2 linked regions of the Tamandua tetradactyla genome follow. The protein of the gene in region 1 purifies or fractionates together with the protein of each later gene. This does not show direct contact. Links are inferred from orthologs where the notes say so. Each region holds a gene or a part of one and is shown in the gene's direction. Other genes may lie near its edges.

Evidence for each region.
Region 2: the proteins of FBXW8 (region 1) and CUL7 purify together in Homo sapiens (affinity purification with western blotting; 12 studies listed by BioGRID and IntAct, with this or other methods). This does not show direct contact. The link is inferred for Tamandua tetradactyla from reciprocal best matches to the Homo sapiens genes FBXW8 and CUL7.

Annotation. Positions count from the first base shown.
Region 1 is NC_135331.1:17,254,185-17,261,684, forward strand, and holds the start of FBXW8 (F-box/WD repeat-containing protein 8), read left to right. Parts: upstream 1-4,287; 5' UTR 4,288-4,342; coding exon 4,343-4,660; intron 4,661-7,500. UniProt on the Homo sapiens protein: Substrate-recognition component of the Cul7-RING(FBXW8) ubiquitin ligase complex, which mediates the ubiquitination and subsequent proteasomal degradation of target proteins.
Region 2 is NC_135331.1:100,633,260-100,641,059, reverse strand, and holds the start of CUL7 (cullin-7), read left to right. Parts: upstream 1-4,691; 5' UTR 4,692-5,097; intron 5,098-5,948; 5' UTR 5,949-5,956; coding exon 5,957-6,632; intron 6,633-6,955; coding exon 6,956-7,107; intron 7,108-7,260; coding exon 7,261-7,761; intron 7,762-7,800. Other genes in the region: KLC4 (kinesin light chain 4), read right to left, coding at 277-334, 754-811; MRPL2 (large ribosomal subunit protein uL2m), read left to right, coding at 810-1,179, 3,057-3,198, 3,312-3,427, 3,504-3,614, 3,891-3,964, 4,175-4,387. UniProt on the Homo sapiens protein: Core component of the 3M and Cul7-RING(FBXW8) complexes, which mediate the ubiquitination and subsequent proteasomal degradation of target proteins. Core component of the 3M complex, a complex required to regulate microtubule dynamics and genome integrity.

The DNA of each region.
Region 1 (7,500 bases):
TGGGGATGAATTAATATGGATCACAGCTATCATTTATTGAATGCCTACTGTTCTAGTTTGCTAGCTGTCGGAATGCAATATACCAGAAACAGAATGGCTTTTAAAAGGGGAATTGAATAACTTGGTAGTTTACAGTTCTAAAGCTGAGAAAATGTCCCAATTAAAAGGAGTCTATAGAAATGTCCAATCTAAGGTATCCAGGGAAAGATACCTTGTTCAAGAAGGCCAGTGAAGTTCAGGTTTCTTTCTCAAGTGAGAAGGCACATGGCGAACACAGTCAGGGTTTCTCTCTCATCTGGAAAGGCACATGGTGAACAAGGTCAGGGTTCTTTTCTCATCTGGAAGGGTAAATGGTGAGCAAGGTGTCATCTGCTATCTTCTTCTCCTGGCTTCGTGTTTCACGAAGCTCCCCGGAAGGCATTTTCCTTCTTCATCTCCAAAGGTTGCTGGCTGGTGGACTCTGCTTCTCGTGGCTATGTCGTTCTGCTCTGCTCTCTCTGAATCTCCTCATTCTCCAAAATGTTTCCTTTTTTATAGGACTTCAGAAACTTATCAAGACCCACCTGAATGGGTGGAGACATGTCATCACCTAATCCAATTTAAGAATCACTCTCAATTACATCACATCTCCAGGGAGATGATCTAATTACAGTCTCAAACATACAATGATGGATAGGGATTAGAAGAAACGGATTAGGATTAAAACATGGCTTTTCTAGGGGACATACATCCTTTCAAACCAGCACACCTACTATATGCCTCATGGGTGCTAATTTGTTTGTTTGTTTGCATGGGCAGACACCAGGAATCAAAGCCGGGTTTCCGGCATGGCAGGCGAGAACTCTGCCACTGAGCTACTGTGGCCCACCTTGGGTGCTAGTTTTATAGACATGATATTAGTCTTAAAGCCACCCTGATGGGAAGATATTTTTATTTTCACTTCACTCAGTCATAAAAAGGAATAAAGTTCTGATCCATGCTACAACATAGATGAACCTTGAAAACATTATGCTACATGAAATAAGACAGACACAAAAGGGAATGCATGATTCCCCTTAAATGAAATATTGAGTAAGCAAATACATAGAGATTGAAAGTAAATTAGTGGTTATGAGAGGCTGAGGGGAGGGAGAATGGGGAGTTATCGCTTGATGGCGATGTGACTCAAACTAGGCTTAATGGGTTCAGACGTAAAAAAGTTTCGGTAAGGGATAGTGGTGATGGTAGCACAGCATTGTGACTTTAATTAATGCCACTGAATTACACACTTAAAAACGACAAATTTTATGTTATATATATATTTTCCCACAATAAAAAATGGTGAAAGAAAAATATAAATATATATATATTTATAAATATTAATTTATAAAAAAATAAATTTATAAAAATATAAATATATATATATATTATCTTTATTTTTCATTTGAGGAAATGGAGGCTCATGGAACTTACCATTTGAAAGATACAAAATTAATGTAAACATTTTCAGAGCAAGCTGTAATAATAATCAGGAAAGGACAATATTTCCCTTTCTCTAGTATCTCTCTCTTTTCCTTTTTCCTGGGTTACAAATGGCCCCATCATCCTTCCTACATTGCCCCTGTAAAAATTCTTTTAAAGGGGTTAAGCAAAAATATGGATGTTGACTAGCACAGTTAGGTGCTTAAAAATTTTCCAGTTTGCTCTATTTTAAATATTAGGTGTTGCGTACATTCTGGAGATAGTTGACTTTTGACCCACTGGTAGATAATCAAAGCAAGTTTGATCCTTGGAATTCTGTATGAAAGGAAACTAGGATGAAGCAGGATATTAGGTGAATGTTTGGGAAAACATAACTGATTTTTAATTTTTTTTCGCATGGGCAGGCACTGGGAATCGAATCCAGGTCTCTGGTATGGCAGGGAAGAACTCTGCCTGCTGAACCACTGTGGCCGACCCCATACTGATTTTTATTACCAAAAAAAATACATATTGCATCAGACATCTCTTAGGCCTACATCATATTCTCCTGACTACTTTGTGCTTCAGTTGTTGCTGTAGCAATTGGCTCTGTGCAAGGGTGATCTTACAGTCCCTTCTGTTAGCTACTCAGAGTACCTATTGCTTTCTGCACACCACCTTGGTTTGGGACATCCCTGGGAATACATTTACTTATCTCCCACCTGGAAGTGGGAGATTGTAAAACCTCTGGGTTATGTCCTTCTCTAATGTGAGAGGAGACTTTGTGGATAAATGCTCCCCTTGTTTCTGGCTCTCATCTCTCAGGAGGACAATTCTGAGGCCTATTTTCTTTGAAACTCTTTAGAAGATCTCAGTGGAATGAAATCTAAGTTGTCTACAACAGGACTAATTCAGAGTGCCCTTTGGATTTGCTTTCCTTCTTTCTTCTTTCACTGTTCTTGGTTCCCCACTCTTGTTCCCTGAAATCACTTTTACAAATACACTACCTGTCCACAAGCACAGGTCGCAGGTTCAGCTCTGGGCTGGTTTGAAAGTATTATGTACTCCAGAAAAGCCATGTTTTAATTTTGATTCAATCTTGTGGTGGCAGCCATTTCTTCTAATCCTGATTCAAACTGTAGGTTGGAATCTTTTGGTTAGATTATCACCATGGAGATATGTCATGCCCAATTGTGGATGTGACCTTTTGATTAGATGGAGACGTGACGCCACCCATTCTGAGTGGGTCTTAATTAGTTTACTAGAGTCACTGCACTGAAATAAATCATGTAACTGGAGGCAGGTAAGGCTTGTGGGCTATATGACAAATAGGTCGGGTCCTGGAGTCAAAAAGAATTGGAGTCAAATCCTGGGTCTGCAAGTGACCTGCTGCGTGATTTTTTACAAGTTGCTGAGATTTTTATGCCTTCATTTTCTTATTTATAAAATGGGGACAAAAATAGCTCTCATCTTAAAGGACTGTTGTTCATTCAGTAAATATTTAACGAACATCTACTGTGTACCAACATCCAGGTTAGGAGTTGAGAATCTAGTAGGGAAGGGAGATATTACTAAACAGTCATACAAATATAAAATTACAAATAGTGCTAAGTACTATGAGGAGAAGTAAATACAGGATGCTGTGAGAGTAACAGGGAGACCTGACTTTTAGGGGGAAGGGGGTCCGTGTGTGGTAGTTAGATTCAGTTGTCAACTTGGCCAGGTGAAGATGCCTAGTTATGTTTCTGTGGACATGAGCCAATGATACATGAATCTCATCTGTTGCTCATTACATCTGTGGTCAAGCTAGGAGGCGTGCCTGCTGCAATGAATGATGTTTGAGTTAACTGGCTGGTGCTTAAATGAGAGAGGTCAAGGTAACACAGCCCGAGCAGCTCAGCATACCTCCTCTCAGCACTCGCAGCTCAGCCCAGGTCTTTGGAGATGCTGAAAGAAAACACCCCAGGGAAAGTTGTTGGAACCCAGAGGCCTGGAGAGAAGCCCAGCAGAGATCACCCTGAGCCTTCCCACATAGGAAAGAACCTCAGATGAAATTTAGCTGCCTTTCCTCTGAAGAACTAATGAAATAAATCCCCTTTTATTAAAAGCCAATCCGACTCTGGTGTGCTGCATACCAGCAGCTAGCAAACTAGAACACTGTGGTTGGGGAGATTTTAAGTGATGGGTGAGCTTAGATGTGAAAGATGTGTAGGAGTTAATCAAGTCAGGATGAAGAGAATTTCCCGCGGAGGGAAGAGCAGGGACTAGGTAGCATGAAGAAAGAAAGCAATTGTTGGACACACTCCCACCTCACAACGCTCGCACTACAAGTTTCTTCTGGAAACCTCTCTTCTGAGATTGGCTGGTTTCTCACCTCGTTTGGCTCTTAGTTCAAATGTCATCGCCTCACAGACCTTCCCTGACCATTCTTTAAAAATTAATATCCCCCCTTGCTACGAAATCGCTTTATTACATCACCTTATTTTATTTTCTTCACGATACCAACCGCTGATGAAAATGCTCACATGCGTTTATTAGTTATTTAAACGTCTCCATCCACTGAAATGCACACGCCAAGAGGGGAGGGATTTTTTGCAGATTTAAGTGCTGAATCTCCAAGTGCCCGGCTTACAGTTGTCGCCCGGTTCCCAGACGGGAAAGCAGAGACGCGCGGAGGCGAGGTGCTGGGGTGCAGGCGCTGACCTAACCTTGGGATGCTGCAAGTCGGAGAGCAACCAGCTCCGGCCGCCGCGGGACGAGCGCGGTGACAGCTGGGCCGCCCACCCGGAACCTGAGTGCGGCAGCTGCGGTAGCTTCCGGCAGCGGCGGACACTTCCGGAGCGGGACTCGCCGTGGCAATAAGTGGGACGGAGGAGGACGCGGAGGGCAGCGAGCCGCGGCGATGGATGACCGCAGCTTGGACGAGTTCCGCCGCCGCTGGCAGGAGGAGCTGGTGGAAGCTCAGGCGCTGAGGAAGCGGCGGCAGCCTCGCGCGGCCGAACGGCGGCCTCGGCGGCCCGAGGTGGCCCCCGGGCGCGGCGAGCAGGCCTCGGGGTACCTAGCGCTGGCCCAGGGCCTCTTGGAGGGCGCGGGGCGGCCCCCGGCGGCGCGGGCGACCCGGGGTGAGAGGCAGGACGCGGCGAGCCGCTCCCGTTCCCCTCAGGCCCGAGAGGGCGCCGGGGGCGGGGACCAGCTGGTGGACCAACTCATCCGCGACCTGGTGAGTGGCCATCGCCCCCCCTCCACCCCCCCCGACCCAGGCCTGGGCAGTCCCCCGCCCCCGAGACAAACCCTGTTATAAGTTGGGAAGTAACTCGGTGCACCACCCAATGTGGAGGGAAAAAGTGAAAGAGTGCATACACATGTGTTTGTGCATAAAGTATCTCTGGAAGCAATGGTTCTCAACTGGGGGTGGTTTTGTCTCCCAGATTTGGTAGTGTCTAGAGACAATTTTGTTTGTCACAGCTAGGGTGAGTACTACTGGTATCTAGTGGGTAGAGGCCAGCGATGTGCACAACATCCTGTAATGCACAGGACAGCCAGTACCACACACAAAGAATTGTCTGACCCAAAAATGTCAATAGATGTGAGATTGAGAAATCCTGTCCATGAGGGATACCTAAGCTATTAATAGAGGTTACCTTTAGGGAGATGGACTATAGGCAAGGGTGGGAAGGAATTTTAACTTTCCTCTGTATACTGTTTGTACTATTTAGTTTTTTTCTAACTGCGTGTATTAAAAAAATTACAGCAGCAAACAAAATTTAGAAAGAATATTTGAGGCACTATCATTAGGATGGAGCCTCTTTTTGTGAGGAAAATCTGGAGGAAGCTGGGGACCTTCTCTCCATTAAAATAGCCTCATAACCAAGGTTGGTAGTTTCAGTAAGCTCAGTATCACCTGAAACACATCAGTGACTCTCTAATTAAGAGTCAGAATAAAATAGCTGGTTTTAATTTAAGTCATTAAATTAGCCTCAAAGGAGACCTCTATAGTATTTCAGTCAGGAGAAATTCTGAAATGCTAGGTCACTCTAAGAAATACTGGCTTTTTATTTAATGCAATATGTAGTTATACTCAAATAACATCAATATTTACCTTTTGAGTTTTTACCAGGTGTCTGGTTCTGTGCTTTGCCTTAACTCTAATCTTCACAACTATCCTGCAAGGTAGAAATATTGTCTCTTTTTGCAAATAAGAAATGTTCGAAGAGTTTTTCTGTAATTTACCTGCAGTTACCCAGCTGATAAATTCTGGGGATTGAATTTGAATCCAGGTCTTTTGACTCTTAAGTTGCACATACATGAATTTTCCAATCTTCGTCTTGGGCCAAGAATCACCAGAGGACCTTGTTAAAATGCAAGTTCTGTGCCTTCTCTGCAAACCTGCTGAATCAGTTTCCAGAGAAAGGGCCGAGAAATCCGATTGTGATGATGAGGCAAGTTTGAGATACTATACTTTGCTGTACAGCGTCCTTTGATTTAAAAAGTCCTGATTCACAAGACTTTCTGTCCTTAACAATCCTGAGAGATAGGCCTTGATACTAGCAATAGTGGAGTAATAAATCAAGCATTCTATAAGTGAAAGCGGTCTAGCTACTGGGGGATCCAGGGGTTCATTACAATTTTAAACGTAGATAGAAAAAGCCTACAGTCTTTCTGGAATCCATGTCCTTGTTCTCTTCTGCCCCTTTTGGAATCACATCGGGTTCTACTAGGCTGTAGACTACTGTGAGCAGCATCCAACCTTTGGAGCACCTCCCTCTTTTTGAATACTTTGCGATCATCAGTAACACTGCTATAAATAAAGTAACAGTCATTCATTGTGTGCTTACTATTTAACTTTGTATTGTCTTCAGTGGATTAGAGGTATTTGTCTTCTCTAATTCTTCTAGTGACCCTCTCCAGTGGCCATTATGAGTCCTGTTTAGCAGGTGATCATTACAAATGTAACTCATATGTGAAGGGCCAGTAAACTTACCCAGTATCTTCCATCTAGGAAGTGATGGGAATGTTTATGAAAAGGCTTGGATTCTCATGTCAATGCTTGCAAGCCCCAAAGCTCACAGGAATCAGGCAAGTGCAAATGAGTGAAATAGGGGAGGCAAAGTGTAGTCAGCCCATTTTACCTAGTTTGTCGGGTGTTTTTCCAGATCCAGTCATAGTTTTGTAGTGATTTCTTCTGTAATGGTCAATGTAAATTTTATTATTTGTCACGTTAAACATGTCAGATACTATAGCAGTCTTCTTCATGATATCCCTAAAGAAACATACTTTACTATTTTTCTTGAAATGTGGCCCTTTTGGTTTTGTTTTCCTACTTTTTAAAGTTTTTTTTTTTAAAACTTTGAAATGTACCAGTCACGTGTTCAGTTCAATGCATTTTCAAAAGTGTGCACATCCAAGCAACCAGCACTTAGGTCATGGAATAGCATTAGCAGCGTGTCAGAACCCCCCTACCACTTGTGTCCTCTTCCACCCAAGGGTAACTACTTACTTTATTTCCAACATCGTATTTTAATTTTCTTCTGTGTTTGAACTATTTGTAAGTGGAATCATACAGGATGTGCTTTTGTGTCTGGCTTTTTATTTATAGCATTAGTTATGAAATTTTCCCTATAAATATATCACATTTTATTTATTCATTCTTTTAATGGTCACTTAAGTGGTTTCCAGTTAGAGGGCATTAAGAATAGTACTGCTGTGAATATTTTTACAACATCTTTTGGTGAACACACATTTTTCTTGGTTAGTCACTTAGGAATGGAATTGCTCATATATGAGGTACACATAGGTTTTACCTTAGTGGCTGTCGACAGTTTTCCAATGTGGTTGTATTAGTGTTCTTACATTTAATGGTAACTTGAGTGTGGGGTACCTGATATGTCATTATCTAGCTGAGATGACATGGCACTTGACCTCAGCAAGGGTTAGATGATAGGGAATGACATACTGGGAAGTTTTTGCCACAGCTGTGCTGAAGGTGTCAGCCACTGCCTACCCCAACTGGTGATTGTCATGTAGGAATATGGTCCCAGTATTGCAAGGTGTTTTGATTTT
Region 2 (7,800 bases), about 83 Mb from region 1:
CTTGCCTACAGGTCTTCAAACACAACAATATCCCTCCCCCTTCCCCAGGACAGCCTCCCACCCCAGCCCTGGAGAACTACTTTCTCCCAAGAAGGGAGCGAGGGAGAGATCTGATCAGAGACCTAAAGAGAGGGGAGTATTTGGGAAAGGGTGAGGAGGAAGACCTGATCTTTCCTGGCCCAGCCACTTCCATGGCTTTGTTCCCCGGAGGCCAGGTTGGAGGAACTCTCTTGTCTCTGTCACAGTCACCTACTAACAGACTCTGAGAAGAGTCACCTTAGTTGCCTCCCAGTTGCCTGATGGTTCAGGGAAGAATGGCAGGTCTGCTGAGCGGCTGCGGGGTCACAGAGAAACGCGGCGCTGGGAATTGGTCTCCTGACTTGGGAATGGGGTTGAGGAGTGTCCCAGGCTGTTGACCAGTCCTAGGGCCCAGGGTGGGGGTAAGAGGAGATGGGCGGGGGCGGGGGGGGGGTAGTTCGAGTGGATGGCTGAGGTCTGCGTCGCGGGCTAGGACCCCACGGCCAGACAATCTCGAGGTCAGTGAGTCAGTTGGTCGCTCAGGGGGCGGGGCAGGCCTTCTGTCCGTCTGTCTGGATGCCGAGGGGCGGGGAAGAATCGGGGTGGGCGGAGTTTTGGAGCCGGTCTGGAATCGTATGAGGTCGGTGAGGGGGTTTGTTCATCTGTCCAGGAGTGCGGGAATATGATATGGCGGGGCCCTCCACACTGTGCCCAATAGTTAACTCTAAGACTCACCCGCAGTCTCTCGGTCTGGCTGCCGCCCTGGCCGGCACTGCCCCTTTAAATCCATCATGGCTGCCTCTCGAGGCAATTGTTTTGACGGCTCCGAGGGGCGGGGCCTGTTCCCCCGTCACAAGACATCGGAGGCGCCAGAGGATTGGCTCTGGCTCTCGGAGGAAAGGAGATGTGTATCCGGCTTGGTCTCCTCTTCTCTGCCCCCTTCTTTTGCGTCATTAGACATCGACGGCGCCGGGAACTGTTGGTGTCACCCAGGAGCGCGGCGCGGCCTGGCTACAGGTGAGAGTGGCGTACGGACTCCTGTGGATTCTGACCTCCCCTATGGCCCTACGGGCTCTGACCCGTACTCTGGGCTCCCTGAGCCTTTCGCCAGCGCCCGCCGCCACTCCCATCCCTTTCCCGAGCCTGCTCCCCGCCGCCCAGGTAATCTGCTACACCGGGAAATGAGGCTGTTTCTGTTCTGGCCTCTCGGGAGGGAGAAGCCTGGGATGGGAGATGGGGGATGCGAATCTGGCCAGGAGTCGCGCCGGCCGGTGACGTTGGATAAGTCACTCATCCTTAGCTTTCCCTTTTGTAAGATCGTGTTGCCCTATAGTGCCGCAGGTGTTTTTCAGACAAGATACTGGAGGCAAAAGCGCTTTGCAGATCTCCTATTGTACGATTTCAAAAATAAGTATTTACTGAGTGCCTACTATAAGCCAGGCATAAGTAATATTTATGAGCTTAAAATAAATGAACTGACAATCACTCTGTAAGTGTAGTTTTTACTGTTCCTATTTTACAGATAAGAAAACTGATAGCAGTCAAGGGTCACGCACCAAGTAGTGGAGCTAGCCAGTCTAATGTCAGAGCCTCAGCTTTTAACCATTATGCTACAAGGATGAGTTATTGCTGAGATCAGAGAAAGCAGGATAAGATACCAAGAATAAAGACCTCAGGTGAAAGTATCAGGGGGTCACTAGTGGGCTACGGGAATGAACTGGTGAGGCACAGGAAAGAGAGGTTGTAAACTTGCTCATCTGGAGTTATCAGCTGTGTATTTGGCAGATGGAAACACAAAATTAAAAACTAGACCAACCTAATCTTCAGTGTTGGGAGTCAGCATTGAAGACAAATGATCCCGCCACTCCATTTATATGTGAAAATTCCCAGAAACATAACATAGATGGAAAAATGGGATCAGTGGTGATGATCATATATGTTTCCTGGAGAAGAAGAGTTTTATGCCATATTTGGAAAGATATGCCTCAAGGGAAGAACATTCATTGAAGAAATACTTCAGAGGTGAAAATGTATTAAAGGAGGAGAGGCAAACAACACACATACATCTGAATAAACATTCTGCACTGGTATCTGTGCATATTGATGGGTGGTATGTTTGGACAGCTGGTTTGGGGCACTTTCAGGAACAAGTAGGCTACAAGCTAAAAATGGTCTGTGTCCTGTCCCTTGGTTCTCTGATGCTTCTCCTTCAATTAGCTTTCCTAGTTAAAGAGCTTTCTCTTTATCCCTAGATAATAAGCAATGCCTTCCTCCAGTCACCCTCTGCCTTGATGTTGCCCCCCTGCCGCCCAATCCTTACTTCTGTGACCCTCAATGCCAAGCTTGAATCCTGGAAGAGTCGTACCAAGTACACCATTACACCAGTGAAGATGAGAAAGTCTGGGGGCCGAGACCACACAGGTGGGAGTGAGGGCAAGAGGATTTAAGCAATAAAGAAGAAAAACATGATAGGACCCTAAGCAAGTATAGTTGTAAACTTATACCTTGTGGAACAGAGAAATGCAATCAAAAAGCATTTATTGGACTCCTTCAGCATGTAGAATGTATGTTGGAGTCAGAGTGGGATACAAAGCAACAGACAAGGTGGTCTGTACTTCTAAAGACAATCTAGATAAAGAAAACTAGCCATACACAGGAAATGCCATGACATTTTTCTTTACACCATTTGAAACTTTACAACAGTTGGAATTGTTGAGCACTGTTTTCATGTCTCAGTAAACGTACTGAATGTAGTAATTTGATGAGATTTTACACAATTTCAATATTTAATATCTTCCCTAATATGCTATGTTTTCATTTTTTTACTTTTCTTTGTTATATTTACCAAACTCCATGTAGGTACTTCCCCCCACTCCCCCTTACCCCAATATGCTGTGCAAATCTTTTTTTTTATTCAATTTCTACTTCTGCCATAATGTTGGGAAGCACTGCTATTGGCCAAAGGGTGGGCCTGTTCCCAGTACTGGAAGCTGAATTAGTCTGACCTGGTTCATGTCCCCAAACTGTCCTGACCACAGGCCGCATTCGAGTGCATGGCATTGGTGGAGGCCACAAGCAACGCTATCGCATGATTGATTTTCTGCGTTTCCGGCCTGAGAATGAGAGCAAGCCAGGACCTTTTGAGGAGAAGGTCATCAACGTCCGATATGATCCCTGTAGGCAAGTTTGAGATATGGGGCAATGATGGTATATCTGACTGGCTGCTCTTTGGCTTCTCAGAAGACACAGAGCTGCCTTGATGGCCTGCTCAACCATCCCTTACCATTGAACAGGTCAGCAGACATAGCTCTGGTAGCTGGAGGCAGCCGGAAACGCTGGATCATTGCCACAGAAAATATGCAGGCTGGAGATATAATCCTGAACTCTGATCACATTGGACGGATGGCAGGTGAGGAATGGTTGCCAGATGCATGTAGGCTGGGAGGATGCGGGAATTCTTGTGCTGATGAAATTCCATCTTTTAGTTGCTGCTCGAGAAGGGGATGCACATCCTCTTGGGGCCTTGCCTGTGGGGACCCTCATCAACAACGTGGAGAGTGAGCCAGGCCGGGGAGCCCAATATATTCGAGCTGCAGGTATGGAAAGAGATGCTGCCTGGCTCCCTACAATTTGGAAGGCCAAGACCTGTGATCACAATTCTCTGAACCCATAGGCCATTGACAGAAAGAAGGGGAAAACAAGGAAAATGAGGATGTGCTTATATTTTGACCTAAAACATTATATGCGTCCTGTTTCAGTGTATCTGCTCCTAAAAGACAGCCAGAAGTATGTGGGGTATGGCCCCTGTGTGAACCAACCCCTCCACCTCATCCTTTTTGAAGGGTGGCAAAGCTGCCTTCTCCCTTTTCCAGGTACATGTGGTGTACTGCTGAGGAAGGTGAATGGAACAGCAATCATCCAGCTGCCCTCTAAGAGGCAGATGCAGGTGTGTATGGGAAGGACCAGCGAAGGAGGAATTTTTCATATGTACCTTTTCTGTCCAGGGATGGCTCCCAGATGTTTTATGCTAGGAACTGCCTCAAGCTGGGTCTGCCCTTTTCTGCTACGTGATTTGGCATGCAAGAGTCCATGCCCTCAACATTATGAGACTCTTTCCTCCCTCTGTTCATTGTCCTCCATCTGTTTTCTTTGTCAGGTGCTTGAAACGTGTGTGGCAACAGTGGGCCGAGTATCCAATGTAGATCATAACAAACGGATCATAGGCAAGGCTGGGCGGAACCGCTGGCTGGGCAAGAGGCCTAATAGCGGGCTATGGCACCGCAAGGGGGGCTGGGCTGGCCGAAAGATTCGGCCTCTACCCCCCATGAAGAGTTATGTGAAGTTGCCATCTGCTGCTGCCCAAAGCTGATAATTGATATCCCTGGAATCTAATAAAGTGGTCTCCCTCACCTATTTTTATCTGTTGTTTTTATTGGAGGGGAGGGTATGGACTGGACCAGGGGAGAAAAAGACAGAAGCGTTGGGTGAATAGAAGGAAAACGACCAATTGTTGCAAAGACTGGGGCTTCCCCCCGAGTTCCTTTATATGCAGGGGAGGATGGGGGAATAAACGATCTCCGAGGTCTTCCCCAGTTCTGACTTGCGAGAACGGGGAAGGGACTTCCGGCGGCAGGAGGGAGGACAAAAAGGAAGAGGAAAGGGCGGCGCGGAGGAGGAGGAGGTTCCGTGCGTCGCCGAGGTGGCACTCGCGGCCCCGCCCGGACGCTGTCCTCCCAAGGCCCCTCATTTTCCGCTAGACCCGCGGAAATGGTCCTCGGCTCCGGGCGGGCAGCGAAGCCCCGGAAACTGGGCGAGTGGCGCTGCTGGCCGCGGCCAGGCCCCGCCCCATCTCTGCAGCCGCCGATCCCAGCGCGCGGGTGATGACACTCGCCGGGCACCAGGGCACTGGATCCGCGCGCCACGCCCCCTGCCCGCGGAGGCACGCCCCCTCCCTCCTCGACCCTCTCGGGGGGCCCAGGCGGGGCCCAAATCTCCGCCAGCGTCGCCGCCATCGCTAGCGCAGCGTCCCTAGCTCTGCGAAGGACAGGCCTCACGCCAGGACCCCCATCGACTTCTGAGGTGGCCAGAGCCCCACCGCGGACCCCGGCCCCTACCCTGGGTTTTCGACCACCTTGCGCTCACCCGACCTCGCGCACCCCTATCTCACCGTGCCTCCGGCTCCCCAAGTTCATCCAGCCACCAGCCCCACCCCCACTCTCCGGCTCTTCTACGGTGCCGCGCGCCCCCTGCTTACCAGGTCTTCAATCCCGGTGCACCAAACCTTGTGTTCCTCGTTGGCCGGGTCTCTTGTATGGCCAGTCCCGGGCTTCACGTCGCCCCTATCTGGCCTCTCTGCTCCAGCTGATGGAAGCAGAGGCCCTCCAGCCCACCAGCCTCCTCCCTCCCAGCCCCTCTGGCCTTGTACCCTTTCTTCCTGCCCCCCATTCTCTGGGTCTCTTGCTTCTGCGACTCGAACTCCCCCTTCAACCCTCAAAGCCAGCACCTACACGTTCTCAGGGTCTCCCTGCCCACCCACCCCCTAAATACACACCTCTGGGCTTTGCTCACCACCTTCCCGGGCTGCCTCTGCCTGTCCTAAGGCCTTAAGCTTCACTTGTGACTCCAAGGCTGCCTTGCCCCCACTTCCCTGCTGTCCCTCTCCCACTGCTCCAAGTCAACCCTTTCCAGGCTGCCTTGGAGACCTTCCTTTTAGCCTGCGAATTTCATATTCTTTCAGAATAAACACCCCAGTGTTCCTCTGCTCAAACCTGGTCCCACCCAGACTGCAGCAGCCAACTCCTGGGCCTGCTTTACCCCACCCTGCCTCACAGCTGTTGTCACATTTGCTTCCCCAACTTCTGTATGTCCTTGGTTTCCTGACCTCTCCTCTCCCTCTAGCTTGCCTGTTCTCTTTTCCTTGTGTGTCCCAGGTGCCAGGATGGTGGGGGAACTCCGCTACAGGGAATTCAGGGTGCCACTGGGGCCTGGCTTGCACGCCTATCCCGATGAGCTGATCCGCCAGCGGGTGGGCCACGACGGGCATCCTGAGTACCAGATCCGCTGGCTCATCCTCAGGCGTGGGGATGACAGGGAAGGGGCCTCTGGCCAAGTGGACTGCAAGGCTGAATATATCCTACTGTGGATGACCAACGATGAGATCTATGCCAACTGCCACAAGATGCTGGGCGAAGATGGCCAGGTCGTTGGGCGCCCCCAAGAGTCTGCAGGGGAAGTCGGGGCCCTGGACAAATCTGTGCTGGGCGAGATGGAAAATGATGTGAAGTCCCTGATTCAGAGAGCCCTGCAGCAGCTGGAGGAGTGTGTGGGTGCCACCCCTCCCGCCCCTCTGCTTCACACAGTCCATGTGCTCAGCGCCTATGCCAGCATCGAGCCCCTCACTGGGGTATTCAAAGACCCCAAGGTCCTGGACTTGCTCATGCACATGTTGAGTAGTCCTGACTATCAGATTCGCTGGAGCGCGGGCCGCATGATACAAGCCCTGGCCTCCCACGATGCCGGTGAGAGGCAGCATGGGGAAGAAAGGGAAGCAGGAGAGGGGCTGGGTCGGCTCAGGGACTCCCAGGACGCTGTGACAGGAGCCTCTGACGTCATCAGTACGTAAATGATTCTGTGCCCTTCTCTTAAAGTTGGAAGCAAAGGAGGAGGGTAGGGGGGATGGGCGTCTCTGCAGAAAAAGGAACGACTGTGAATCCTCTAGAACCTTGGATTTTTATGCAAAAGAAGAATGTAGAGTTTAGATTATTGCGGATTTTATATGCATATATATGTGTATAAGATAGTACATTTTTAATTTGAAAGCAAATCATGCCATTCCTAGAACGTGGTGGCCAAAGGACTGGACTGAATAGAGGGATTAGGAAAGATATATGGGAAGGGTGAGGTTAGGAGCAGTTACTGATTGGGGTGTGGGTTACAGGGAGCCGCGCACAGATCCTTCTGTCCCTGAGCCAGCAAGAGGCCATTGAGAAACACCTGGATTTTGATAGCCGCTGTGCTCTGCTGGCACTGTTTGCACAGGCCACACTCTCTGAACATCCCATGTCTTTTGAGGGCATTCAGCTGCCACAGGTATTCTGTGGGGGGGTGAGGTGGGCAGAGGTTGGGGAGAGCTGTGAACCAGATGTAGACACAAGGCCTTTGCACCTAATCTGCAGAGGACAGTGTGGAAGAGGGGCTAAAGTAGGAACAAGGTGGATGGAGACCAAAGGTTGTATTCTACAGGTCCCGGGAAAGCTGCTCTTCTCCCTGGTCAAGCACTATTTGCATGTCACCTTCCTCCTGGATCAGCTGAATGACAGTGCTGTGGAACCTGGAGCCCAGAACAACTCTGCTCCTGAGGAGTTGAGTGGAGAGAGGAGTCGGCTGGAGCTGGAGTTCAGCATGGCCATGGGAATTCTGATCTCGGAGCTGGTACAGGCCATGCGCTGGAACCGGGCCTCGAGCAAACTGGGGAGCACTGCCCGGTCGGCCTGTTCCATCTTTCAGCCCCAGCTGGCAGGTGCAGGCCCTGGAATCCCACCTATCCAGGCCCGGCCCTTCCTCAGGAGGTCAAGGCGGTTCCGCCCTCGTTCTGAATTTGCCAGCGGCAATACCTATGCCTTATACGTAAGGTATGCGCTGCAGCCAGGGATGCGAGTGCGGATGCTGGACGATTACGAGGAGATCAGTGCGGGGGACGAGGGCGAGTTCCGGCAGAGCAACAATGGCGTGCCTCCTGTGCAGGCGAGTGAGCGCATGGGCATGGGACACTGTTGGGGCCGT